Linked DNA regions of Styela clava. The protein of the gene in region 1 interacts with the protein of each later gene in a pairwise test. Links are inferred from orthologs where the notes say so. Each region holds a gene or a part of one and is shown in the gene's direction. Other genes may lie near its edges. The genes, in order: cell cycle checkpoint protein RAD1-like; calreticulin-like; 3-hydroxyanthranilate 3,4-dioxygenase-like; proliferating cell nuclear antigen.

Region 1 (6,391 bases):
TGCCATCTAAATTCTGATGAAAATATGAAATTCTTATCAAACTCTATGCATGTGCAAAAATTTAAAGTTAGGCACAGCTGCGGTGCATGTATTTGTCCTGTTTTTTTGCAAATTATTTTGTATTTATGGTTTTATCAGATGTTACAAACATTAGTGTATGTAATTTGTTAATTATCCTGTAAGGTATGTAATTTATATCTGCATATTGGCTGATAAAAATAATTTATGATCTAGTGTTGGTTTTGCCACATTGATTACAACACAGCAGAGAGAGAATCGCCTTGAAAATGTGTCTGTAACATTTCTTGTGTTATATGTTCTTGTAATTGTTAGGTAATCTTTACGTAGTGTATAATTAAAAGTGGGAATTATACAATATTTTTATTGCTAATCAAATTCACTGAAGTTGGGGATTAATTGTGGACGATATTATTTTAACTATCAGTAGAGGTTGCGTGACACTAACTCCCAATCCTTCCTCAATGCCTTTGTGTATGCGTATAATGCAAGGATGTTGCGGCAGGAATAAAAATACCATGCTATACATACTCAATTTGAATTGATTAGTATGGTATTATTGTAGTTCATGTTTCATATTCATTCATCCAAATCTAATTGTTAACAGAAAAAAATGTGCCCAATCATATTTTAGGACTAAATTTACGTTACTTTATGAAATTGTTTAGGGTGCATATCCTTAAAGTGGTATCATCCTTCATTTATTACGTAAGAGGGTATTAGTTTTGGAACAATTTTTTTCTTAAATTAAGCTCAGAGTTGAAAATTTTTAGTTCTGATTATAAAGATGTATTTCATGTGGTACTGTCCTTCATTTAAATATGTAATAGGGTATTAGATTAGAAACCTTTATTTCTCAAATTAAGCTTTAGAGTTGAAAATTATTAGTTCTATTATAAAAATGAATACAACTACATAATATTCTGCTCAAAGTTGGTTATTAAAGTCTAAAAAATAAGACAATTTTTGAATTTAAATATTGATCGCTAGATTACATGTACTTTGTCATTATTAAGATTTTTTAAGCCAAGTTCCATGGTTAATTGTTTTTTGATAGAAATGCAGTCATTGATCGCTGGCAATAGTGTAGCAAGCGTAGGTTTTATTTTGTTGAATGCATTGTGCAATCATTGTTAAATCTTATCAAGTTGTTCCAATTCAAAGTGACTGAAAAGTTTTACCAAAACTTGTGCTTCCCGATGCCTTTCTTTTGGGGCCTCAATATCATTTTTTATAAAAATTGTTAGTTTTAGTCAAAAGTTTCTATTTGTTGTTTCTTTGAATGGCATCAATTATTGGTTACATACTACTTCAATGCAAAAATGTTTAGAAAATTCTGGATTCAAAATTGATTGTGCTTTGTTAACACTGGTTGTAATTTTTTTACAACTAAACATGGTATAATCAGTGCTTACAATCATTAGTAAGTGGCAAACGTTTTTCCATTTTGATTCTGGAATAATAAAAATAAAGCACAAAATCTTGGGTTGAAAATTTTGTTGTTTAATATTAGTTTACAAAAAAACTTCATCCTTTTTTCATCCTGAAACACATAAATGTCCTCTACAATCACTTTCTGAAATTTGCACACTTTATGCAATATTATATCTGATATAATATTATTCAAAAGTGTCTTGTTTATTAAGTGCATAGGTATACAATGCCATCTTAAATGTTATATTTCAATATTGCTTAAATTATAAAAAGTCTGTTTTTGACAATGACACCAATCTTATTTGAATGTTCAGTGAATCCTTTGATTTGGTATTCCATACCGTTTCACATTATTTTACATCGATGGATAATGCAAAAAATCATATATAACTAATGTTTTTGTGTTTGTGTATACACTATCTATTGTGAGTTTAAATTGATATGTTATTGACGGAGTGCAAATATGAAACACTCTATAATGGTTTCATAGTTATTTGGAGAAAATAAGTTGAATCAAGGTAATTGTATTAAAATAAAATAAGTCCTTAAAAACTTTGTCCTTAGAATTCAATTCACCCACTGAAACTAAACGCCAACAAGCATCAACAAACACAATCAAGTCATTCACTTCTAAACAATGCTAAACACATTTCCAGATTCATTCCTAAAAAAATATTTTGGCATTTTTTTCTGAAATTTTGATCCAAATTATTGCTATAAAGATGTGTCAAATTTTGTGACAATAAATTAAACTTTTATCCTGATTTTTGCATATGGATCAATATAACAGCCTTCAACGAATCTCAATATGGCATAATATTTCAACCTAAAAAATGTCCAAAATGCTATTTTGACTTATTTCACTGTCGCTTGTAGTTGTGTAATTAAATAATTGTTTCTAAATCCCAGCCATATAACCTTAGTTGAATTTATATTTAGTATAGATATAGACTAATTATGCCAATGACCTATACTTTAGTTACACTGGGTTTTTGACTGGGATAATCACTGCACGCTTTCTAGGTTATGTGCTTTGCAATACTGTAAACGGATTTTGTTCTTATTTTAGAATGATAATGTAGTAATTTTTTTCCAAACAAAGACTGCTTTTTGGGTATAAAAATAAGAAAAATGTCACACATCAGTAGGATCGCGTCTCCTATGAGCTTATGTGAAGAGGATTTATTCGATGTTGACAAAAAAGTACAAAGCAAAATTCGTCTTCTTGAACAATTACAAAAAGAATCGCCCGCTTCTTTTCTTGTTGGTACGATTGGAAAAATTAACCAAAGAATCACCAATCTTGATGAAGAATTATCAAAATATGAGAGCCAGCTTGAAATTGACAGTAGAACACCAGAGCCGCAAAAGAGAACTGAATCTTATGCTGAAAGCTATTCTCCCTCTATGAGCATTCGTGGAACAACTCCTTCAGAGAAAAAGTATGGTGCTGATGTAGAAAAACAAGCTCCTGGAACTCCAAGAGCAAAATCAAGTGACGCTCCTCGATTGGTTGAACTCCAGCAGTTCCCAGGATGGAATAAGAAGAAATGTGCTCCTCTACCGCATTCTCTACAAACTAACAAGGTGCTTGATAATGTTGTCGCTGCTCAACCAGATTTGAAACACAAAGTTGCGTTTCGTCGGGAGTTTTGCAGACTACTGTTTTCAAAAATGCAAGAATCGATACTGCAAGATGGTTTCTGGTGGTTTTTCTTGAGAAAATTTCATCCTGATCCAATCAACCAAGGCAAGCTCTTTAAAAGAATATCAACCAATTTTGTTGGTCTGTTACTCAGTGCTGAAATTCCGAAGTATAGAGATTTGTTTTTCGCTAATTATGGTACAATTCTGGCTCAATCAATTTATGCTGCTTTTTGCCTTGCATTTCCGCAGTCATGGAGGCAGTTTGACGAACCAGCGTTCAAGGAAATGTTAGCTCAAGTTTGCGGCGAATGGATTTCAGGTATTCCACCGCCACCTCGCTCTTATGAAAAATGGAATATGGCAGCTTTAGAGCCAGATGGGATGCGAAAGGAGGAAGTTATAAAAAAGAAAAAGAGACCTGATCATGCAGCCAAGTCTCTAGGTGGAAGAGCAAGTTCATACAGCTCCGCTGCTTCAACTAAAACATCGTCAATTCGATCACCGACTGGATCTCAAAAAACGCATGGATTAAGAATGCATACTGCTAAATCAGATGCTGCATCTTGTGCACATTCTCCTAAACTAACACCGCGTGTTGCGGAATTAGCATCTGAGCAAAATGCCCTTTCAACAATTACAGAAGAACCTTTGACATCAACCACTGAAAGCACTGCTGGATTAAGAACGAAGTTTATTGCACCAAAAAGCGATTCATCTTGTGCTGCTGGGCGTGCAATGGAGTTTTCAAGGAATGTCTTCAACGTGTATGGTCGCTCACCATTGCTTGTTCAATTTTCTCGTCAATATGGTTTCGAGAAAAAATCCTTTTTTGATGTATTAGTCCAGCATTCACTTATTCAAACACCACCAGCTAAAGATGCCCAAACCTATCAAGACATCATTTACGAGAGCAGAATTAAAGCATCCGCCGCAGCACAATCTTTCAAACATATTTACGAAGAAGACATGAAAGCTCACAAATCTTTTTGTGCAAAACAGCGAGAGGAATTACAAAATTTCAAAAAGAAAACGGATAAATTATTGTCGAAGCCACGTCAAGTTCACTATCTTAGTAATCTCATCTTGATGGAAATGAAGAACTTAGAAGAAGATACGAATCCGGTTGGTGCCACTGCAACAGTTCAAGCTGCTTTATCTGCAGAATCAGCTGATTAAAATGTTAGATAACATATCACTGTGCCTTATCAGTTATCTTAGTATTAATATATAAATTGTATTATGTTGTCATAGTTTTAACATCTATTGTTCACTGTAATTTTCGTAACTGCTGTACTACTACTTTACCTAAATATATCTTCAAGTGTAGTTTTAATTTTATAGTTATAATATATTTAAGTTTCATTGCCATGATTATACCATACAAATTGATACAATGTATTTTACCAAAGTTGTGTGTGCTTATTGTAGTTTTACAAGCATATAATAAAATGACATGTTTTCGAAAATTATCATAAATTCCATAAAAAGTGCTTCGTGATATTATTTTATCTAATATATCTTCAACTGTTTGTAGTTTTTTGAATGAATTTAGATTAAAATTATTCGTTGGTGCCATTGACATGATTATACAATGATGTAATTTATCAAATTTTTGCGTGCCTATAAGCCCATTGTATTGTTACAAGTATTTAATAGAATGATATTTTTTTAGTTATTATTACAAATTCCAAAAAAAGAGTACTTCATGGTATTATTTTACCTAACATATCTTCAAATGTTTGTAGCTTACCTGTTACAGCATAATTTAATGAAATGTCATTGCCATGACTATACAATGCTGTTTTTTATAATATGTTTGTGTGCTTATTGCCTATTATAGTTTTACAAGCATATAATAAAATGATTTGTTCTATTTTTAGATATTACTGTTAATCCAAAAAAGCTGTTTTACTTTATAAATATTGATAAATGGATGGCACAACGCTTGAAGATGAGGATTACACATTCCTAGCCAAACTTGGTAATGCAAGAAATCTTTCACACATTTTAAAAGCGATACATTTCAAAGATGTAGCAACTGTATTTGTAACAGAAAACGGTTTGAAAGTAACTGTAGAAGATGCGAAATGTTTGCAAGCTAATGCTTTCATTCAAGCAACTGTTTTTGATGAATATGATGTCCATGAAGAAGTAAACTTCTGTATCAATTTGAACGTTCTTCAAGAGTGTTTAACTATATTTGGAAGTAGTTCCATTATGACAACATCGTTAAAAATGGTTTATGGGGGATATGGTTCACCTCTTACTCTAACCTTAGAAGAAGAAAACATTACAACTGATTGTAGTATAAAGACGCAAGAGTCAGAAGAGACTCTAGATTTTGAATTCTGCGCTGCTAATGTTGTTAATAAAATTATAATGAAAGCTGATTGTCTGCGAGACGCTTTTAACGAGTTAGACCACACTTCTGATGTGGTTGAGATTACGATGTCTCCACAAAAACCATATTTCCGACTTTCAAGCTCAGGATATTGTGGACGAACAGATAATGATATTCATAAAGATTCTGATATGGTAGAAATCTTTCAATGCTCAGAGCCGCAGTCAAATCAGTACCGTTTATCCTTGCTAAAACCTTCCGTAAAAGCAGTTAATCTTGCAAGTAAAGTCTGTATAAGAATGGATCATCGTGGGTTTTTATCCTTCCAATACATGATCAAAAATGAAAGTGGACAAATTTGTTTTGTTGAATATTATTGTTGTCCAGATGAAAAATTTGATGAAGAAGATGTTTGACTTTAACACAAACCATTTTACCCTGTGCAAACTAGCAAAAAATATTCATGTATCTAAATATGAACCCATTCAGACCTTAAATCAACAGTATTAATAGCTGGGAAAGTACAGATGGCATCAGTAATTTTAGATTTTCACTTCATTTGTCAGTGGTTATTTAGCTTTCAATCATCAATTTCTTTTAAAATGTTGTTTATACACATAGTTCTTATTGTTTTTTACACTCTTTTCAGAATAGCATAAGCATGCTGTGTCCCATTATTAAATATCGTAATTTATTTTGTCATAAATGGACATCAAAGTTTTTTTCAATGTCCTGCGCAAAAAACAGCGTCAAAAAATCTTCAGTGATAAAGCCACAAAACATTCTTAACTTGCACAAGCGAGGACTTTTAGAAGATATTTTTCCAAATGCTTCTGTCTCATTGCCAGAGCAGTTATTAAAACAACAATGCTTTTATTGTGGCTTTGATCCAACATCCGACAGTCTACACATTGGAAATTTAATGTCTTTAATGCTACTGTTGCATTGTCA
Region 2 (7,491 bases), on another chromosome or scaffold:
TTATCAGTAACAGATACATATATATGGGTCGGTTTACATTCGTACTTAGGATTAATACACTTTGGGGCAATTTATGAATTGAGTTTATATAACAAGTTGATTCAGTACTTATTTTTTTTTACAGAATTCACAGAGGCTCGTGCACACCATCTCACGTTGAAACTGTAACTGATGTCGGCAGTGTGGAAGTGTTTGATCTCGATGATCACCATAGATGTGATTCTATATCTGCCACAGCTCAATGTACATTGCATAAACAAGACAAACACTTTGACAAAAGATCATCGGCAATAATCGTGGTAAATGCAATGCCAGCGTCAACTCAAACTGAAATTCAAGATGTATGAACAACTGAATTCACAGCAGGATTAACTTCGCTTCACAAAATTGCTAAATCAACGGCATTTCTACGACAACCGACGTCGAGGTTTGAAACAGCAGACTCCCAGCAGAACGGCGTGATCTTCAAGGCCTGCGTTAGCATATATCGAATTAGATGTAGGGTTGCCTGTATATATATATATATGTGTAATCGAATTAAATCAATGTTGTAAATCACGTTTCCATTGGTTTCAACTTTTACAATCATATGACTATTGAATCATTTTTGTCATTTTGCAATACGCATGTGCTATGTATGTTGCGTACATTTGGAAATAAATTTGAGATTTCACACACAAATAAAATCACACTTCATTTTTCTGTATGCAGAACGATGAGAGAGCAATTTTATACGGCAGTTTATCGGGTCAAAATTCCGATATGAATGATGAAAAGTGGGTGGATAAAATCGCAGCATCGTCGTATTATTAGTCCATTACTATATCACGCTGAGAAATATTACTTACGTGGTAGTAGGCCTATCTACTAAAGACGGCTGTATCGGCTAAATGTAGACCGATATATTAGGATTTTTAATCTGATCCAGAGTTTTAAAAAATAAGTTGGAATATGGATGTTGATATTATTTTTTGCTTACAGGGATAGTGTTCGCGGTATTGGCTCCGATAACTCTGAGACATGCTCTCCTTCAGCCCCGCGTGTAGAAATGAGAACAGGATTCTGACCTGTTTATCAGCCAAACTAGCTCAACTAATTTGTGTTTTTTCGCTACCAATTTTTATATTGACATCTTCAATATCACATGGTAGTTATGAAGAAATATCAATCAAACATTAGCGAATTTCCCGATGTGTAAAAGACAAAATACGATTTACATTGGCCTGCACACGCAACGCAACCTTTTTTTAACTTGCGGCACATTTATATAACTTGCCAAATTCGACGGCACACCACAACAATTATGTTCATATTTCCATCAGAGATTTGTGGTTGTTTTAATGAGCACAATCGCTATATATTAGGATCAATACGTGAAAGAGCAACTCGAAGTTCGCCGTCAACATCTTTTATGCAGGATCTTTTATCGTTATTGATCAGTAATAAAGAGGAAAAACTTTGTTCGCACATATAAGTTGTGCAAAACTGGAGCAATATTTCAATAGTTGCATTGGAAACGTGCGCCTGTATTCTTCTTTTATTAAAATTCAAAACACATCAAGTGGAATTTTGCTGAATTTCAGTCTTAGCGTCTGTCATTTCTTACTTCAACGAAATTTTCTCGAATACGCAGGAGTAATTCTTTCGTTAACATTTCAGCACTAGTTGAGAAAGGATTCCGGATCCAGTCGTATCGTTCATTGTTAATTGCGAAAAAGTACCAGTGCTTATCTTTGCTGTATTAAAGTTAAGTGCTTTTTCGCCAAATTTGACACGAAACCGTATTTCGTATTTAAGTGGCGCATAAGTTTACTCGGAACCATTGCTTCATTTGAAAGTTGCTCCCCACAAATGCAGACTGGTTTTGGAGCATCTTTGTCTCCTCTCCCCCGGGATAAATATGTAAATCCTATCCTATCCTACGTCACAAATGCACAGTGACAGAAATTTGACTTGGTGTCGCTCAAGCTAACGTAGAAACATGTTAACTTTACGTTAGTAGAGTAGAGTAGTAGACTAAATTAAAATTAACAAAGAATAAAAAAAATTGTAAAAAAGAGAGAAGAGTTGCAATTCCTGTGCGGCACACCTGGTATCATATCGCGGCACACCGGTGCGCCGCGGCACACCGGTTGCGGAGCAATGATCTAGATCAGGGGTTCTCAAACTTTTGATGTTACGGAGCCCTTGAAGAGGTTGACCATTCTTCACGGAGCCCCACAAATAAATTTTGAAAATAAAGCAGACAAAAAATACATGTTGATATTTAGTGATTAATATTCCTGAGTAAGTTAAAAATACCTTACCTAATTTAAATGCTAAAACTTTTTATTCTAAATTGCACGGATAAATTATACATATTAGGCCTGTAAATTTGACACACATATTAATGAATACTCTTTTGATATTTTGGAAGAATGAAGAAGTCGCTCATAACATGCGCGATAGCATTTTGCTGTAATCACCGATTGTTTTCGTAGCGATGCGTGTTTTTTAGTTAGACCCTAACATCTATATGTGGTGTTTATTCTCCCTAATCACACATTTTTCTTGCTTGTTCCGCGAATGCGATAATTACGTTTTTGTCTTTGTGCGTAATTGTGAGTTTAGTATGGAAAACAAGTTAATACAATATAATCATCGGCGACGAGATGCTAAAAATAATTAATAAGGGGGTGAATCAGCAACCCAAATTTCTTGATTGGAAAGCGGTATTATATAATACTAAAACGGAAGAAAACATGATAATTTTTATTTTAGCGGACTCGCGACAGATTAAAAACGCTTTTTTAGACATTGTGAATCACAAACTTTGATGTTATGTTAGGTTATCAATGGGTGTTGTACCGTAGTTACTGAAATCAATACAATAATTGTGCGCTCGAATTTTATTATTGGTGTTTTTGCTTATTAACAGTTACAGAATAACCAAGTCCGTATTTTGATCGAATATCTCGCGGAGCCCCTAGGTTTCTCTCGCGGAGCCCTGGGGCTCCGTACGGAGCACTTTGAGAACCTATGATCTATTCTAGATCACAAAGCACTTCATTTCAGCATTAGCCCATTCAACTGCCGAACTTATATTGATTCGATTGTCTGACATACATCAGCAAAATCAGAATGTGCAAACTTTGTGGTAATTGTGACAAATGCGTTCACATTTTTAATGATAATGTCACGCCTGAATCACATTGTCATAATGAATTGCGCCAAACACCTCAAAGAAAAGTTCCAAGTTTGGATATGAGGTAAGTGGCCATTTTGCATTTCGGGGTTGATTAGCTGTAAGCAACCAAGTTGCGAGAACAAGAAATATGCGCGAGATTACAGTTTTGACAGAACGAACTTTTCTACTCAAATCACATATTGAGCGGTAGAATACTGCTGATATTCTATCTTTTTGTACATCCCCATTTCTTTAGGCTATGTTTCAGTACAATTTTGTTGGAGTATAACCCAGGCTGGCACCGTAATCAACGGCGCTGACAACACAGATTGGGGAAAATTTGTACATTACATCGGGGTATGGTAACAAAGGATGCTTGGAATCGTGTCCCCGATACAGGTGACATCTGTGAAGAATCTGAACTTCGAAAAAGAGTTTAGAATTTTCTGTACATAGTGTGCGTACTTTTTATTAATCGAATTTTAGATTATGTATTATACATCTTAAAGCAGATAATTTCGGTTTGAGAAATCAGCAAAACTATGGATGGATATAGATTCGGTTCCCGTACATTTGAACCCATACTAACCCTAACCCATTGGTTTTAGCAACCGTATATAGATTCAAATGAAGTTGAATTTGCACCCACATATAAAAGCAAGACGTCTTTGTTGTGTGATATGACAATAAGCATTTATTATGATCAATTAACTGTTCTCATATTCAGCATAAAGAGATCACAAAGTGCATCTTTCCGTTCCTGTTTTCTTCCATATTAAGTGATTTTATCAGTGGCTCAGTCCGATACAAATGTAGGCTTCAGTCTGTGCGATTGGTGATACCCGCCAGCCGCCGACGTGCGCGAATACTTCCTATGCGATGGAAGTAATACCAGTCACAGATCACGGTTAACCTAATATTCCTCCGCAATGTTTATTTTATCGAATAAATACCCGAAACAAATAGGGGGAAACTCCTGCTGCCAACAATCTGCTGCGTGTATTTCCCTTCCGTCGCGCCTCGTTTCAGACCTCGTATTACGTCTGTGGCGTTGTATGATTGGAGTTTCAACCGGTGGCGTGACCAATCACAGCGAGCCAGCTCTTGTTTTCAGTGACGTAACTTTTACGTGTGCGTTCATTCAGGGTACACGCTTGCTATTGCTACAGAGTATTGCGGCAAGCTTACGCTCAGTTTTCAGCCGAATTGCCTTATAGATTCATGCATTTTAGTTGATATACAAGTGTAAGCTTGTTTAGATTTGCGAAGTATGTGACAGTGTACTTGAGTTTATTCAAATGGGCTTATTTTTCTTCTAATAATCTTTTTCACATCAACCAGGGTTCCAATAAAGTAGTAATTAGGACAATAAAAAATGAAATTCTTTGTCACATTTATATGTCTATTAGTCTTGGCCAAAGTCAATGCGGAGGTATACTTCAAAGACTATTTCACAGACGGTGAGTGTTTTCATAAAATTTAAGTTTACTGGTTTAGAAAAAGGTGACCGAAGTAAACGTCTGAACGTATTTCCCACAACAACCTTAAACCACAGTGTCGGGTGTGTTTTCAAGTAGCATTTGTCACAAAAGAATAAATTTCATTTCAAAACCAAACACGAGAAAAGATACCGAAAATACCACCTTATTTCTTGGGAAACAATTTAAAACGTAATAAAACTAAAAACTAAAAGCTTTATGCTGTTATATAGTTTCCTTGAAAAACTGATTAGAACGATAAACTCTTTATTCCTAAATATATTTGAAGTGAGTGAACTCGCGACCTTTGATCACTTTTGGGTCCGCAAGTACTCCTCAAAAATTTTTGCGGCCCTTCATCCTCGCATACTTGGACCACTCTGTCCTGTATCATTATAATTCGAAAATTTAAACGAACACAGTTCTATAACGTCAGACATAAAAATGCCTTTTAGAGAATATTAATGTGTTTTTCTCAACATTGTAACCCTGAAAAGATCGAAGTTACACTCCTATAATCTTGAAATGTTGCCGTAGAAAACCCGAAGAGACGGACAACTCACCAGAACTCTCTGTAGTCGAGTTGTCTCTGTTGAGTTGTCTGTGTAGTCGAGTTGTCCGCCTCTTATATAAAGTACCGTATAATAAATCTTCATACCATAATAAAAAACTCACTGATGGGAACCTCAAGACTCCCAATGCAACAGCCTAAGTATTTTTCTTATTATTTATAGCGGATTGGGAAGCTCGGTGGAAAGAATCTAAACACAAATCTGATTATGGAAAATGGATTTTAACAGCAGGAAAATTTTATAATGATGAAGAACAGGATAAAGGACTCAAAACTAGTGAAGATGCCAAGTACGTTAATGATAATCTTTTCATGAAGATTTTTTTCAGAAATCTGCAAATTGAGGAAAATTTAAGTCCAAAAATAATCGAGTTCTAATTTTCTGACCTTGCGTAGTTTTGTACCTCAAGTACTTCTAGCGGGCGTAGCGTGAGGATTTTGACCCTATGTCTGTATGTCAATCCTAACCCTCACTTGACTAGGCCATCCAAAAATTACGTCACTACGACGTCACAAAATTATTTGGCTACGCCCACTAGAAGCAATTGAGTTATGAAACTATACTAGACCCTAATTTTCGATTGACAATTTAATAGGCCACAGTAGTATTCAGCATGTTGAACCAAATTTATTAGTGTTGTGGTTTAAAGATTGTGTAGTTGCAAATTGTGAATAGTATACCCACCCAGGAAGATTTTGCTCGTATTCGATCTTATATGCTCTCTGTCTGTTATTTATTTTGAGTCTCGTTTGTATTGTAGTGACGTATCAAATTTTTTTATTTTAGATTCTATGCAATTTCTTCTAAATTTGACAAATTTTCCAATGAGGATAAAGATCTCGTCATTCAATTCTCTGTCAAGCATGAACAAAATATTGATTGCGGAGGAGGATATATCAAACTTTTCCCATCTGCATTACAGTCTGAAGATATGCATGGAGATTCACAATATAACATTATGTTTGGTAAGATATGACTTGACCATTGAATGCAGGGTGATGTGAATATTGTCAACTTACTGTTGTTCTTGTTGAATGAAGCCTAGCCCGGCCCAGATATTTTGAGAGCTAACTATTGTTAAATACTTGATATGGCAGTACAAAATATATCAATTGTTAGTTATTGCTTTGAATAAAGTTAGTGATAAGCTAGGTTAAAAAAAATTCTTGTTTTTGATCTTTCCTTTCTAAAATTAAATCATCATTAATAAGTATGTTTTAACGAACTTCATTGTACAATACAACAAAATATTATTGGACATTTCTTGCTGGTAATATTCATCAGTATCATTCACATACCCGGTTTGGTGATGAACATCTTAAGTGTTTGTCGTGTTACGTAATCCATATTTTTGCTAAGTGGCAATGATGTAGCAACTGAAACGTGTGTCTACGTTTTGTTCTTACCAAAATAATCTTTCATTTCAGGTCCTGATATTTGTGGGCCAGGTACTAAGAAAGTGCATGTCATCTTTCATTACAAGGGAAAGAATTTACTAATTAAGAAAGATATCAGATGTAAGGATGATGAAACTACACACGTTTACACCTTAATTGTGAAACCAGACAATACGTATGAAGTTTTAATTGACAATGCAAAAGCACAATCCGGAAGCCTTGAAACAGAATGGGATTTCTTGGAAGCAAAAGAAATTAAAGATCCTGATCAATCTAAACCCTCACAGGAAGAATGGGACGAACGTGAGAAGATCCCTGACCCAGATGCAACAAAACCAGAGGTTTGTTGGCGCTCCGGAAGTATGTGCACCAAAATGGCGCACAACCTGAATCAGAACCTGGCACACATACTATGTTCAGGTTGTGCGTCATCTTGGTGCACATTGGGAGCACTGGTTTGTCACCTGTTACCTTTCTCAACCTTCATTAAAAAAAAATTAATAAATTATTAGTATCTCAAGTCATATTTGAGCTATCCTTTTATTTTCCTTGCGGGGCCTGATGCAATATCTTTTAAAACTTCTGTTAAAAGATGCATTTTAATAATTGCAAAAATATTGCATTGCTAAAATCTGAAATTGACCTGCTTTCAACCATTGAAGACTATCGAACATTTTAATCAGTGGTCTAAATTCTCATTTTTAAGTAACAATGTTTGTATTTTTATTTACTATAAATGTCTTACATAGCATAATTCAAAAGAGATGTATATTTATTACTCTTTTCTGCTGTTTAGTATTAACTTGCATTTTTATCTGAAGGATTGGGACAAGCCCGAACACATTGTTGATCCTGATGCCACAAAACCTGACGATTGG
Region 3 (7,675 bases), on another chromosome or scaffold:
TACTGCCGACGATGCCATTGATTAAATGTATAATATTATATGTTTATCTTTGGTATCATGAAATATATCAATAAAAAACAAAGTGAGACGACAATTTGGCGCAGAACGCCAGGAAATCACTCTTATTATCATATAATTATAATAACAAAGTCGAAAAACCATTTTGGTTTGGCTCAATAAGTTTCGATGCGGGAGGAACAAAATCATTCTGTTTCACATATTCCTCTGCAGTGGTTGATACCCGAATGACTGGACCATTGTACTATAGTTGTCGCTGGGGCGACCAATATCATTTTACTCTATTCCTGAACGATTTACTGAAAACTGTCTTACTACCGATAATACTTTCACCAAATGAACCGATCGAGATCGATGAAAATGCGCGCTTGTATACCTTGGATAACTTCGAAGCGAAATGAGTCTGTAGAGAGATTTTTAAGGAAATGTTAGATGTCAGTAGCGGCTTTTATCCAGCCTTGTTCGGAGAAAACGACACGGTTAAGATATTTTGGTATCCGCACGTAGATTGCCCCAGAGGACATTTGCACCCAAGAATGTTTAACCGACGTACTTTTGCTCCATGTATTGTACATTTGCGCTTGTGAACATTGGTATTCTCATGTATATTTGCACCCCCAGTCATTTTATCGGTTGTAGAATACCCGACATAGACTGCATGGTAACCGGCCGAGATGCCGCGGCACGCCACATATCCATTTCTAGAAGGTTCCATTACATTTGAACCCACGGCAATTGCACCTGCATACGATTGCACCTAGGGAATTTTTCTTTGCTTCACGGATATTATAACCCTAACCCATGGGTTTTAGCCTCCGCATATAGATTGAACCCGCGGATATAGGCCAACCAATGAGCATATATTGGGCCAACACATGGGTTCAAAATCAAATATACGTGGGTTCAAATGTACGGTCACTTTTCTAGAAGCATTCCTGAAAAGTAAATTCAAGGAGATGGTGAAAACTCATCTTCCTCACTTTCGCTCTTTGATGAGATGAACCGAAAACAAAAAGTACCACAGCTGGACTACGAAGCTGCACTTCATTCTTCGCACCATGCTCAGACGCTAGAAAATCTGCTAAATTGCTCTTCGGGAATTTCCGTTCGGAATCGAAACCAGCAATGGGTGCAGGGCTTATTCAAGCGTGATTGCCGCAAATAAATTTCGTAAACAACCTTCGCTCGAGCCCTATTCGCGCAGACCTTTCCACTGAGACTCGTTTTGTGATTTTAAATGAGACGAGATAATCAGCAGTACAAGTATATAAGTCAGTAAGTAGTGAAACTCAACATCCAACATTATTAGGGTCCGAGATAATAAATAGGGCATATTAGACAAATAAAGATAACAACGCGCTTGTCGTTTCTGCGGTGCCTACCGCTGATTTGCGTTCGTAAGGTATTCGTTGTTTTAGCATTGCCAACTATGGAACACAGTACCGGTACCGGCGTCACTGCAGCACTGTCATACTTCTGGAGTGGAGTGTATACTCCTCAAAGAGCGCTAATTTAGGTCATATTGTTTTAGCCTGCACATGCTGTCACGTATTGCACTATCGTCTGTCTACGTGACATAACGCTGAAGTGCAATGATTTATTAGGTATGTTAGTCGTTGGCATTGATTAACCATACAGCCCATAGGTAACTAGAAGTTAACGAGAAACAATAAAGAAGTGTTTGCAAGTAGTAAACATAAAGTAACTCCGCATTTTTAAACGTCCCTGCTGTCTGATTATTGGGGAGTAAATGTCAAACGGAAATTTGAAAAATTTCGTCTGGACAGGCATGGTGCATGTGTAGTATAGCTGACAGCAGTAACTACATGGTTATATACTGAAGTGGCTATGCAGGTGAGTGGCTACTATAAAACTTATTTAGTTGACTTTATAACTCTTTTTGACAGGGAAAACTTGGGTCTGGTATAGTTTAGTACCACATGCACTTCTAGTTGGTCTGACTCGACAATTTTTGCATATGTCAATCCTAACCCCCACCTGACTACGTCACTGAAAAATTACGTCATTTCGACGTCACAGTGGCGTAATAAGGCCCACCAAAGTATGCGAGTGGTCGCTTAAAACGCGCAGACGATCACTTGAAATCAAGCAAGTTATTTCTCTCGTTTTCTTGTCACAACGATCACGATAGGAGAAAGATCGCCAGCTTTAGCGAGTTCGTTATCGGCGGCGCAGATGCCATTTCAGGCGATCGTAATTATTATTTGGTAAGCCCTATGGTGACGACGTAGTGACGTATTTTTGGATAACATATGCAAAATTCGTTATGCTACGCCTACTAGAAGTACCTGTGGTACTAAACTATACTAGACTCGAAAACTGGGCCTAAGTAAGACTGTAAGACATTCTCAATTTTTGTACACCTTTGTCATAAAACTTAAAAATGAAAACTTCAACTCTGTAACTGCTATTGTTGTTATTGTAGGTGATGAAAAAATATTAAAATAATTTTTTATGTGTGGCATGGGAAGAACTAAGCGCAAGAGGAAAAGGAAGAAGGTATCTCAAAACCTAAATGAACAAGTCTCTCATGAAAGTGTTTACACAGAATTACTCAAATTCATGAAAGAAAAGAATTTTAAATCAAATGGGCTTGTTCCTGCAAATTTTTCTGACACTGGCCGTGGAATGATGGCGAAAAAGACCTATCAAGAAGGAGACACGCTGATATCATTACCTTGTCAAATCCTCATTGGAACAAAAAAAGCTCTGCAAGCTTCGAAATGGGCTCAATTTATGTTGTCATCTTCAAAGATGCCAAGATTCACCTCCTTACAAATTCTCTGTGTGTTTTTAATGGAGGGAAAATATAAACTTGATAATGGATTCAAATTTGATTGGGATGTTTATATAAAGACCTTGCCAAAGACTTTTCACTTTCATCATGTATTCTGGGATGCAAAGGATATAAAATTATTACCGAAAACGATCCAGAAAAAAGTGAAACTGTTGCATGAAAAGATTCGAAGTGACTATATTGCAGTAAAAGATGTATTTGATTCATATTGTGGCCAGGAAAAATTTGCATTATTGTGGGATGCGTATCGTTGGGCATGGTGTTGTGTGAACACTCGTTGCATTTATTCAAACCATGAAGAATTGAGCATCAAAAATATTTTGAAATCGCCATCTGATTATTACTACCTTGCCCCCTATTTAGATCTTTTTAATCATAGTTTTTCAGCAAAAGTAAATGGTTTTTATAATCAAATTTCCAAAGCTTACGAGATCAATACTTTACAAAGATGGAATAAATTCGAACAAATATTCATTTCTTATGGACCGCATAGCACTGAAGATTTATTCCTTGAATATGGTTTTATAGTACCTGGACAGAATCCGAATGATACTTTCAATGTTTCTTTGGACAACATTTTATCTGTGACAATGAAATTAAAAACCTTATGTTCAAAATGCCGTAAAACATTAACTTTCATTTTAAATTCTCATTATATAAATAAGGATTGGTCACTAAGTTACTCTGGGTTATCATATAATCTCTCATGTACAATATTAATCATATCAAAGCTCTATTTTCTCATAGATAAATCAAATTTTTGTAAAAATCCTAAATCTTGTTTAATAATATTACAACAAGAAAAACAACTTTCAAGTTTTATTACTGAGATTCATGATGGAAAAATTCCTTTTATAATATTATCATATGCAAATGAGATAAAAACGAATTTAATTAAGAATATGAAGTCAGAGTTTCTCGATGAGTTTAAAGAGGTTTCTGATAAAATTATTGAAGACAAAAATAAGGAACGATACCAAACTATTTCTGATTTATACCAAGTTACTTTTAATATCTTTGAAGCTGCTATGTTACATAATATAGAAGAAGCATTTGGACATTAGACTTACTTACGTTAACATTACACATCTGTGGTACAAATCTCGTGCCCACCAATAAGGGTGTACACAGCAATTTTCAAGGAGGGGGGGTCTTGATTTGCCAAGTTGGACTGTAATGGCTAGCTGGTCCGGCCAGAAAATGTGGTTTTGCATGAGGCTTTACGGTTCAAAAAGCGTTTCAAGCTACGGAAAATAATTGTTATGTATGATACCTGCAACCCTGGTACCTATTACCTTACCCAGTGTGTAAAGCAGGGGTCGGCAACCTTTTGTCGCTCGTGGGCCAAAATAATGGTTGCAAGTCATTGGCGGGCCGCAGATATATTTCTAGGAAATTGAAAACCGAACGGATGATACTTTTTATAATAAAAATGAAGGGGTGATTTCTCGAATAGAATGTAGATTTATTTCCTCTTTACATTGCATTTTCGGCACCATTGAACCCTTTGCACTTAGCATCAACTTTTCTGCATTTTGTTGTCATTTGTCTAATTATAATTAAAGTATAGGCTGATTAAACGAGTAATTGTGAATTATACTTAATATACTTGTTAGAATATAATATTATTTAGTCTACACTCTTCTCACAATGGATTGTGTAACGTGAAAAATATAATCGTCAAAACAGCTGTTTTGTTACTATAATTCAGTGAAGCGTCGCGGGCCGGATTATGTTACCCGCGGGCCGTAGGTTGCCGACCCCTGGTGTAAAGGTTAGTTAGGCTGAAACAGAAAGATTTCAGTCTTAACTTTCAACATATTCTTTGATACCAATGGCTGCTTGTAGGCTGGTAGGGCCTTGTTCAGAGCAAAAATCCTGAATAAGCATCATAAAAACTAACACTGACTATTTCTATTTTTTAGATTCCTAATTTAAATTTCTTTTTAACACAAAAATTATGTCAACTCCTGGTATCATAAACGTAGGGCAATGGATCGAAGAAAACAAGAATTCTTTCGATCCTCCTGTTTGCAACAAAATGATGTAAGTTGCCTTTTATGTGTGTTAGAATGGGTTTTGTTTCAAGTATAGGAGTTATCAAATATGTGGTTAATTTTGTCGAAAAAAAAATTGCAGTAACTTTTATATGATGACGCGTAATTTTTTTTTAAATGATCATTTTTTATATTTGCTCCATAATTGTGGAGATAAGTAACAGAGTCTGAGTGTAAATCATACTTTAATATGAGACGAGTGTATTATAAGGATAGCATCCACACATTATTTCCGGGGAGAGGAAAGTCTATAAGATGGCTTAATCATATGGCAAATCAAGTCCCCTCGTCTGGTTACCAGTCCATGTGGGGTATGGCATTAGTTAGCCAGTTATTTTGTTTTCAGATGCATGGATTTGATGGTGGGGGAGGCCATAATCGACCAGCGGTTACGTAAACTACCTCAAAGTAGCGAGGAGTTCAGCAATCCTCTCGCACATAATTTGAACCTACGAACCCACGCAGGGTAATCAGAGGTGCGGTGGCAAGTGTATTCCCATCGCTTAGCGATGATGCGTCACGCCGCCCAGTCAATTACAGATCGTGTAAATAGTGTTTCTGAATTGCTACTCTCGAAAATTCAGGGTTTAAAATAACCTCTGTCACGCTAGCGAAATCTTGCTGCCCAAAAATATGATGTCATAAAAAGTGTTTCATTATAAAATTTATGAATAAAAAATAATTTAATGGCACTAAACAAATGAAGTCTAAAATTTCGTTAGGGTTTCCGTGGCTATTGATTAGAAATACTTCGCAAAGTGGGAACACACTTTTATACCATCGTATATTTTTATGTAGGATTTCGCTGACGTGACAGTGGCTTAAAATAACCACTTCAAATTTTTAGGCACAATGGACAATTGAAAGTGATGTTTGTTGGAGGACCAAACGAGAGGAAAGATTATCACCATGAAGAGGGAGAGGAGGTTTGTGAATCTTCAAATATTTTTACTACATGGCAGGAAAGGCTTTTCAATATAACTGAGAGGCAAGAAAAGTCAATGAAATTTCATGCCCCAAGTTTTTCCCATGAACTTCAGTTACGGTATATGGAATTCACGGCGTTCTAGAAGTGTGTGCACCAGGATGGTGCACAATCTGATAACCCCAACCTGGTACACATACTATATACTCAAGTTGTGCGCCATTTGGTGCACATACTTCGGGAGCTGTTTTTCTGATCATATTGACTTGTCAAATCGTGGATCGGTCAGTGTCATTGTCTCTATGAAACTTCATATTTGGATTGTACACAGGTTCCAATCCCATACGGGAATAGTTATGTGCGAGAGGATTGCTGGACCCCTCACCACTGTAAGGTTGGTTTATGTAACCGCTGCTAGGTTACGGCTTCCTCCACTATCAAGTAGACGCTTCAAAATACAAACGAGAATATCGGTCAGAGACCGATGACTTAACATAGAAAGTTAGGGTATCCCCCAAAACAGCGCTCTTACTCTATAGTGACACCTTGTGTCCCATCACTAATTAATTAATAACTCGCTGATTATATGACATAATTCGCCCAGAATCAATGGGCTTCTGGTCCGAGATAAGATGAATGCACATGCAAAATCTGGAGCAGATTCAATTTCGCTTTCGTGAGATATCGCGTGCATCTAACAGACAAACAGACAGACATACAGACAGACGAATACCTATCAACATACTTAACAACATACTTAACAACAAGTAATAACTTTCTGACTAATCCCATACCCGACATGGACCTGTAACCGGACAAGAGGCCGTGGTTCGCCATATGGTTAAGCCGTCTTATCGACTTTCCTCTCCCCGGGATAAATATGTAAATTCTATGTAGAATTTACTACTCGACAGCTGTTTTCCTAATTAAATTGACCTAAACTTCAAATTTTGGATCAGTCAGTGTATTTGTACACTCTAACACCTTATATTCTCAGTAACTTTTGGATCTTCAGTTGTTGACTGTAACATGCTCAGAGATTAGTCTTTTCGCAGTTGCAAACCCATGCAGGGTGTCAATGCTAGCTAGCCTAGTTGAGCCTTTATTTATAATGTGCTGCTTGTAGGATGTTCATTTGTTATATTTTCAGCTTTTCTACATGGTAAAAGGTGATATGTGTCTGAAGATACTTGAGAAAGGAAAACATAAAGATGTTGTAATAAAAGAGGGAGAGGTAACCAACAACATCTGTATTTGATTACATGAATGTGTATACATTTTGTGGATTGATACGAGATTTGTAGTTCAGAGATTTTGGCCCCCGATTCAAAAAAAAAAAAAAACTACTATTATTGTTAATGAACACACTCGTATGAGCCCTCATTCTCGATCTGAGTGATTTAAAACTTTTCATAGAAAATTACTGCATATGACGATATATGCTCGTAGAACGCTGTTTAAGAATCAAATTGGGATTGAGTTTACATGATGTCGCTTTGAGCGAATCCTCATAAACACAATACTATTGTTCGTAGTAAGCATTTTATATTTATCATCTCGTTTTAGGTATTTCTCCTACCAGCCCGTATTCCGCACTCACCACAAAGAAAAGAGAACACAGTTGGTTTAGTTATTGAGAGAGACAGACTAGATAATGAGACTGACGGCCTTCGATATTACACTGGCGATACAACGCAGGTTTTATTCGAAAGATGGTTTCATTGTTATGACTTAGGATCGGAACTTGTGCCTATAATAAAAGAGTAAGTTTATTTTTATATGAATAACTTGTGTTATTCTTTCTCATGCGATGTATGCAGTGGTGGGATTCAAAAATTTTGTCAGCCGGTTCCATCA
Region 4 (6,329 bases), on another chromosome or scaffold:
CAGGTCTGTTTATATAACGAAATTTTTCATCGGCACGCAAACGTCTATTTTGACATTGAATATTACAAATTGTCACACTCGTAAAAAACGTTGCCGACCTCTGCAGTAGCGCAACTAAATACCGATTACAAAATGCTGACAATTGAGTTCCATATGTGACATCAGAAATATCTGAATGCGACTCAATCCGTGTTGTGCAACAAAGCATTCATGTGCCATATCTCTGAAAAATTCGATTTTGTGGATGCGTAATATCTGAATACCCCCAGGTGGGGAGCTACTGGGATAATGTAACGTGGATTTATATTTGAAGTAAATTTATATTTGTTCTATAATACTCCAACAAAATTGCCGGAGTTCCTGTTTAGACAGCATTTACCGAAATACGTGACAAGAATGAATCAAGAGGATGTGGAAGATTGCCTGGTAGTAACCTATTTGTAATAGATGATGACTCGTATTGAGCTCATTCACACAAAAATTTCTCGATGTGGAAGGCCCATGAAGTTAACTTATGCAATGATATTTTGTGATCAACTGTATCAAATGCTTTCTGTAATTCTATAAAGACACAGCAGATATATATTTTGTTTATCATCTAATGGTTTGTGGAATGTTATTTGACACGAGACAGGTCTATCTAAAACTTTTTACCAAAAGATGAACAAATAAAAGTACAGGATATACAGGCATTTAAAATTGTAATTGTCATGAAACAAAAATTCGCTTTCAAATTCTGGCGCATTTAAAAGTAGACTCGGCAGAGCATGTTCGTTCGCAACGCTCAACCAAAAAGATACAATGGCGTTTCGATTGAAATCAATCATTAAAGATCGATCAGACTCTTTACATATCGTTGCAGGCTCTATATGCAGCAGTCATCACGAATCCCAGTTTGGCAAACCCTGGGCTAGGAAATAGAATTACTGCTTCAGCGGCCATATATTACGAAACGGCGGCCCTTTCAGGTAAGAACATTTCCATGCTACAAACAATGTTTGCATTCTTTACACTGATCGATGTAGTTCATAAACTTAGCACGGAGGTAGTATAGGCCCATAGGATATAACATTGGCATATCATTGTGTGAGATGGACTTGGACAATAGATGAACTTACACAATATCTGATTTGCGCTTCCGATAAGATGAATATTTTAAGCCATAATCAACACCTAACTGCAAAAAATGATAACGCTCCGAAGATATTGTTTGTTACTCGCACCTGATAACGAAAAAAGGCTGTAAATCAAATACAAGCTTATCAGTCGCCGGATCACTATTGAGCTGATAAGGACTTTTTTCTAGCATGATGACATATAAATAGGGCAATCTAATACTTAGGTACATTGCAGAATTTGACAAGCTTATAAGAAAGAAAAATAAAAAACAATGCCATCTAGAAATCAAAATGCAAGATCTACAATTTCAGCAAGCCATGCGCACCCAATTCAGCCACAGTTTACCAGCGTTATTAGCATGTTAATTCACGAATGGGATGAACAAAGAAGGCGAAGATTTGAAGCCGATGAAAGAAAAATTAAAGCAAAGACATCGAAAAGGGAAAATAAGAGCCTGAAAATACTCAAACCACTTGCGAAGAAAATAAAATCAACAAGAATTACAAAACAGAAGTATTTGATAAGGGGAAATGGAAAATATATCTCACCCAAAAGGCGCAAACGTTCAACAGGTTCGAAAATAACGAAGAAACCACATACTTGTCTTTCTCACAAGCGAGAATGATTTTAGTGTATGCGATTTGAGGATATAAACTCTCATTAATTTATTTCAGTCTCAATTGTGGTTCTGTATTCTGATATTTAATGCGAAATAAAAACTTGAATGAGTTATGTGAAGTCACATAATGCAGGAATAAAAAAATAAGGTTGTATAATGGCTTTTCCAATGTTCATATGATATTTTGTTTAGTTTGGCTTTCTCTAGACCGCCAGAAGGAAAAGTGAAGAACGATAGGATTTTCATATTGATTCCGTGAGAGGAATCCGATTATACGGATTTATCAAAATGACAAACCACTACATTTTGCTTACGCATCATTTTAGGATGGATATGACCAAGCAGATAATTGTTCCACATGTATTGAGTTTTATGAGAAAAGCAGCCCCAACCGACGACGTGAAGAGCATTCATTTTGCTCGTTACTTGCCTTTGGGCCCGCGGACATTTGAATATTTTTTCTGTGTATATATGTTGTCGCTTACGCCGTTTTAATCTAGTCGTTTTACGTACGATAGACTTCTAGTTACTTGATTTATTATTATGTAAAAAAGTGATTAGAGTTAGAATCAACAGTGGGATTTAAATTTTATGTCAGCTGGTTCCATTACAAAAGTCATATTTTTCAGCCGGTTCTGTTACAAAAAGTCATAATTTTTTTAGCAAATAAATTCAATTTTCAGACAAACAATCACAAATGGAAAATTTCTACAATTATCAAATGTAACCCAACGTATAACTGTTACGTGCGAAATGTTACGAGACCATTTTACATTTCGAAAAAAAAACACGTGAGTTACTTGATCTCAAATATCGGTGTGTCAGATAAGATGCAAAAATCCATTGACAGTATCCAGTAGTGCTAACCGGTTTGCTTATCTCATAAAATTCCGTGAAACGGTTCTATAGAACCGGTGCAAACCGGCTAAATCCCACCACATGCTTTGAACTGGGCTAGTTCTACTTCCCCCATCCCGATTCCAAATTAGATTGTATCGAAATCCTCTATGGAATTATACGGAGGCAATTTGCGCTTTAATCTAATATAACGTTATGTAATGCCAATTCATTTCAGTCTAAATAAAGTTGATTTTTGAATATTCAAATTCAGTAAATAAACATGGAAGATGTCGAACGTTCTTTTTCAGGTCTTGGTATATACAGGCTACAAGGAAAATCAAGAACTGCTCAAATAATACAGCATTCATGCGCACTTTTAATAATATATATTACAAAAAATAAATATATATAAATAGTTAAATACTCTTTATGTTTCTGCCTATTATGTACTTTTCTAAATTTTCATTAGCCTCGAAAACCCGGGAAATTTTTTTGACTCAGTCGATAGTGAGAAATCTCTTCCACACTTTTTAAAAATGATTAATCTAAAAAGAGGAAAACGGTAATAATAAGTAAATGGATACAGGTTTTCATATATTGTATATTTGAAAATCTCGCAATTCTCTACTTTGTAATTTCGTTTTTGATAAATGAAAATATAATACATCTCCCTAAACAGGCCATAGTGTTGTTTTTCGAAATGAAATTGAAATAAGACACAGTCTTATTAGGTCTTATTAAGTCCATGCTTCCGAAAACGACAGCTATGCTCAAATATATGGACACTTCACAAGGTGTCGCTGTTTTTTATTCTGACACATAAAAAACGAATATCTTGAAGTCCACAGAAATTTTTAAATTAAGTAAAAGAATAGACTTCTGGCGAAAAATCATTAACCACTGAAAATTTCAAAGCAATTGGTCCAGTATTCGAAGAGAAAAGCGATTTTATCATGACGAAGGAGAAGAAAAACAAGATCAACAACATAATATTAAAACCAAAGCCTATATGTATATATAATACCTGATTGAAACGATCGTTATGTACAATGACGTGTCCAATAACTAACTAATCCCATACCAGACACGGAATGATAACCAGACGAGAGGCCGTGGTTCGTCATATGGTTAAGCCGTATTATAGGCTCCGCTCTCCCCCGGGATAAATACTTCTTCCTTTTTTATTCTTATTTTTGGGAAAACATGGCATTAACCAGTACAGTATTGTTCTTTTTTGCATTTATCTTTTTTCATGTCTACTTGTAAAAAATGGTGGCGCTGTTTCGTAAGAACAATTTATTGTGTTATCCATGCGTAACTTCGCCATGCTGTTCCCGCCAGAACGTTTTTTTTTCTTCCCGCTTTTTATTTCGTCTAGATTTTTTATTGTTGAGGTTTTCTTTAGTTGACAGCTAGCTGCCGATCTTCTCGCGTCGATATAGCCTCCTAACCGTTTATTTTGTTCTTTATCACCAACATTCAAAATGTTTGAAGCGCGTCTTATCCAAGGTAGTAATCTCAAGAAAGTACAAGAAGCATTGAAAGACATTGTTACAGAAGCATCATGGGATTGCACATCATCTGGAATAAGTTTACAAGCAATGGATAGTTCCCACGTCTCACTAGTGCAACTAACTTTAAGAGCAGATGGATTTGAAAACTTCAGATGCGATAGAAATCTGGCCATGGGCATCAACATGACAAGCATGGCAAAAATTATGAAATGCGCTGGAAATGACGATATTATTACCCTAAGAGCAGAAGATAATGCTGATATGTTGGAATTGATTTTCGAATCATCGAAAGGTGATAAATATTCTCAATACGAAATGAAGTTGATGGACCTTGATTGTGAACAACTCGGAATCCCTGAGCAAGATTATAGCTGTTGCGTGACACTTCCCTCCCAAGAATTCGGAAGAATCTGCCGAGATTTAAGCCAAATTGGAGAATGCGTTGTCATCACTTGTACTAAAGATGGAGTGCAATTTTCTGCAAAAGGAGACTTAGGAGCTGGAAAAATTAAACTTAAGCAAAATACTGGCTCTGATATCAAAGAAGAAGAGCAAGTGACCGTCGAAATATCAGAGCCTGTTCAGCTGACTTTCGCGATAAAATATTTGAACTTATTTGCGAAGGCATCTCCTCTCTCACCATCTGTATGTTTATCAATGTCAAACAATGTTCCACTCGTTGTTGAATACAAAGTAGCAGACATGGGTCACATCAAATATTTTCTTGCTCCGAAAATTGAAGATGAGGAAGAACAAGACAGTTGAAGAAACTTCTAGTTTTCACATACATTTTGTTCATAAAAGGAAAAACAATAGACTACTACAGTACTAGTTGGCTTATGGTCAATAAATTATACACACTGCCATAAGGATATAAATATCAGTTATGATTACTGCTCCATTGACTTTCCCATTCACCAACATCCAATTGATTACTGGATTAGATAAAATTCCATATTATGGCGATTGCTTTGTTAATATGAAAACATCATTTTCTTGATTTCTCTTGTCAATTTATCTGAACTGGCCTCATTTGACCTGCCTTCCCTCTCAACTTAACCGAAGTTACTCCAAGGTCAGCTCCATTTATGGAAGTACTCACCTCCAAAGCTATAGCTTCATCCTTCCTTTTGGTAATTATCGACACGCTGACTAATTTGTTTCTTTCATCTTGGGTTCTCAGCAGTGCAAGCTGATTGATTTGTTTTGCATTATCGAATGAAACCTCAAAAAACATCTTTGCTTTATCATGTTGGATGAATATTGCTATTGATAAAATATTAGTGGATTGAACAATTTACACTTTGGCCTTAAATATATAATATTGTTGTTTTTTCAAACTGTCTTGTATTTTGCTGTAGAGCTCTTTCTCTTAAATTAATTATTTCCAAGATTCGAATTGAATATTTGAAATTTATGTAGTGCTATTTAACTTTGTAGTGAACTTCCTATGAAAAGAAGGGTTTCGATTTATTTAATCTTGTATTATAACTCCGAATTAATTGAATTCTGTCAAATAAAAATGACAACTTTTCAACTGTCCTATCTGTATAATTATTGGTGTAAATTTTTCAATACTAACATCATGGTTTCTCTTAATAATCAACACTGCCTCTCAGTTTCTAACTTGTGTTTCATGTGTTCGTTAATACATATTTTAGAATTTCATATTGAATAAAAAATATAAAACATTGAACAACGCGAGGGTTGTGTTCGGAGCTGTTCATCTGATTATTTGGACACATTCATAACAAAATGTTTCTCTATGCTCTCACACTTCAACGAGCTAGCACAATAACGCATGCTGTCCATGGGAATTTTTCTGGCACGAAGCAGCAGGAGATTGCCCTGTCTAGAGGTAGGGCTTAGTTATAATAACTTGTGTTTTATAATGAACGTAGATGGTAACTGGTGAATTAAGAGTCTCAACGACTCTAAATCAGTGGTTCTCAACTTTTTTTCTTTCGTGGCTCATTATCAGTAGGGCACGGTTCCAATATGATGTGACATTTGGTCCAATGAAACAAAAACTATTGCGCCATGCTTGTCTCTATGATAATTTAAACCGATCGTGACTACGTCGGCTGTCATGTGACCAAAATCACGTTTTTTTGCTGATTTTTTTTCCCTTTGTGGTACTTTTTTTTAAATTGCGCTCGGAGGACCTGACTGACACGTAAGGGAGGGGTTTGCACTTACTGTTTTAATTGATTTCTATTAATGTGGTGGCTATACTT

Evidence for each region.
Region 2: the proteins of cell cycle checkpoint protein RAD1-like (region 1) and calreticulin-like interact in a two-hybrid assay, tested with the Caenorhabditis elegans proteins (2 studies listed by BioGRID). The link is inferred for Styela clava from reciprocal best matches to the Caenorhabditis elegans genes mrt-2 and crt-1.
Region 3: the proteins of cell cycle checkpoint protein RAD1-like (region 1) and 3-hydroxyanthranilate 3,4-dioxygenase-like interact in a two-hybrid assay, tested with the Caenorhabditis elegans proteins (2 studies listed by BioGRID). The link is inferred for Styela clava from reciprocal best matches to the Caenorhabditis elegans genes mrt-2 and haao-1.
Region 4: the proteins of cell cycle checkpoint protein RAD1-like (region 1) and proliferating cell nuclear antigen interact in binary tests that used the Caenorhabditis elegans proteins (3 or more experiments, as listed by UniProt). The link is inferred for Styela clava from reciprocal best matches to the Caenorhabditis elegans genes mrt-2 and pcn-1.

The regions. Positions count from the first base shown.
Region 1 is NC_135258.1:12,550,615-12,557,005, forward strand, and holds cell cycle checkpoint protein RAD1-like, read left to right. Parts: upstream 1-4,980; 5' UTR 4,981-5,028; coding exon 5,029-5,856; 3' UTR 5,857-5,871; downstream 5,872-6,391. Other genes in the region: protein FAM227A-like, read left to right, coding at 2,584-4,275; tyrosine--tRNA ligase, mitochondrial-like, read left to right, coding at 6,102-6,391. UniProt on the Caenorhabditis elegans protein: May be a component of the 9-1-1 cell-cycle checkpoint response complex that plays a major role in DNA repair. Promotes DNA double strand break-induced cell cycle arrest and apoptosis, thereby playing a role in genome stability.
Region 2 is NC_135260.1:6,839,780-6,847,270, forward strand, and holds the start of calreticulin-like, read left to right. Parts: upstream 1-4,466; 5' UTR 4,467-4,541; coding exon 4,542-4,626; intron 4,627-5,378; coding exon 5,379-5,505; intron 5,506-6,002; coding exon 6,003-6,181; intron 6,182-6,643; coding exon 6,644-6,954; intron 6,955-7,434; coding exon 7,435-7,491. Other genes in the region: uncharacterized protein LOC120347616, read left to right, coding at 125-347. UniProt on the Caenorhabditis elegans protein: Molecular calcium-binding chaperone promoting folding, oligomeric assembly and quality control in the endoplasmic reticulum (ER) via the calreticulin/calnexin cycle.
Region 3 is NC_135252.1:20,678,370-20,686,044, forward strand, and holds the start of 3-hydroxyanthranilate 3,4-dioxygenase-like, read left to right. Parts: upstream 1-4,674; 5' UTR 4,675-4,796; coding exon 4,797-4,882; intron 4,883-5,740; coding exon 5,741-5,819; intron 5,820-6,968; coding exon 6,969-7,052; intron 7,053-7,384; coding exon 7,385-7,581; intron 7,582-7,675. Other genes in the region: SET domain-containing protein 4-like, read left to right, coding at 2,494-3,900. UniProt on the Caenorhabditis elegans protein: Catalyzes the oxidative ring opening of 3-hydroxyanthranilate to 2-amino-3-carboxymuconate semialdehyde, which spontaneously cyclizes to quinolinate.
Region 4 is NC_135262.1:17,046,836-17,053,164, reverse strand, and holds proliferating cell nuclear antigen, read left to right. Parts: upstream 1-3,900; 5' UTR 3,901-4,062; coding exon 4,063-4,857; 3' UTR 4,858-5,808; downstream 5,809-6,329. Other genes in the region: splicing factor 3B subunit 3-like, read left to right, coding at 5,848-5,950. UniProt on the Caenorhabditis elegans protein: This protein is an auxiliary protein of DNA polymerase delta and is involved in the control of eukaryotic DNA replication by increasing the polymerase's processibility during elongation of the leading strand.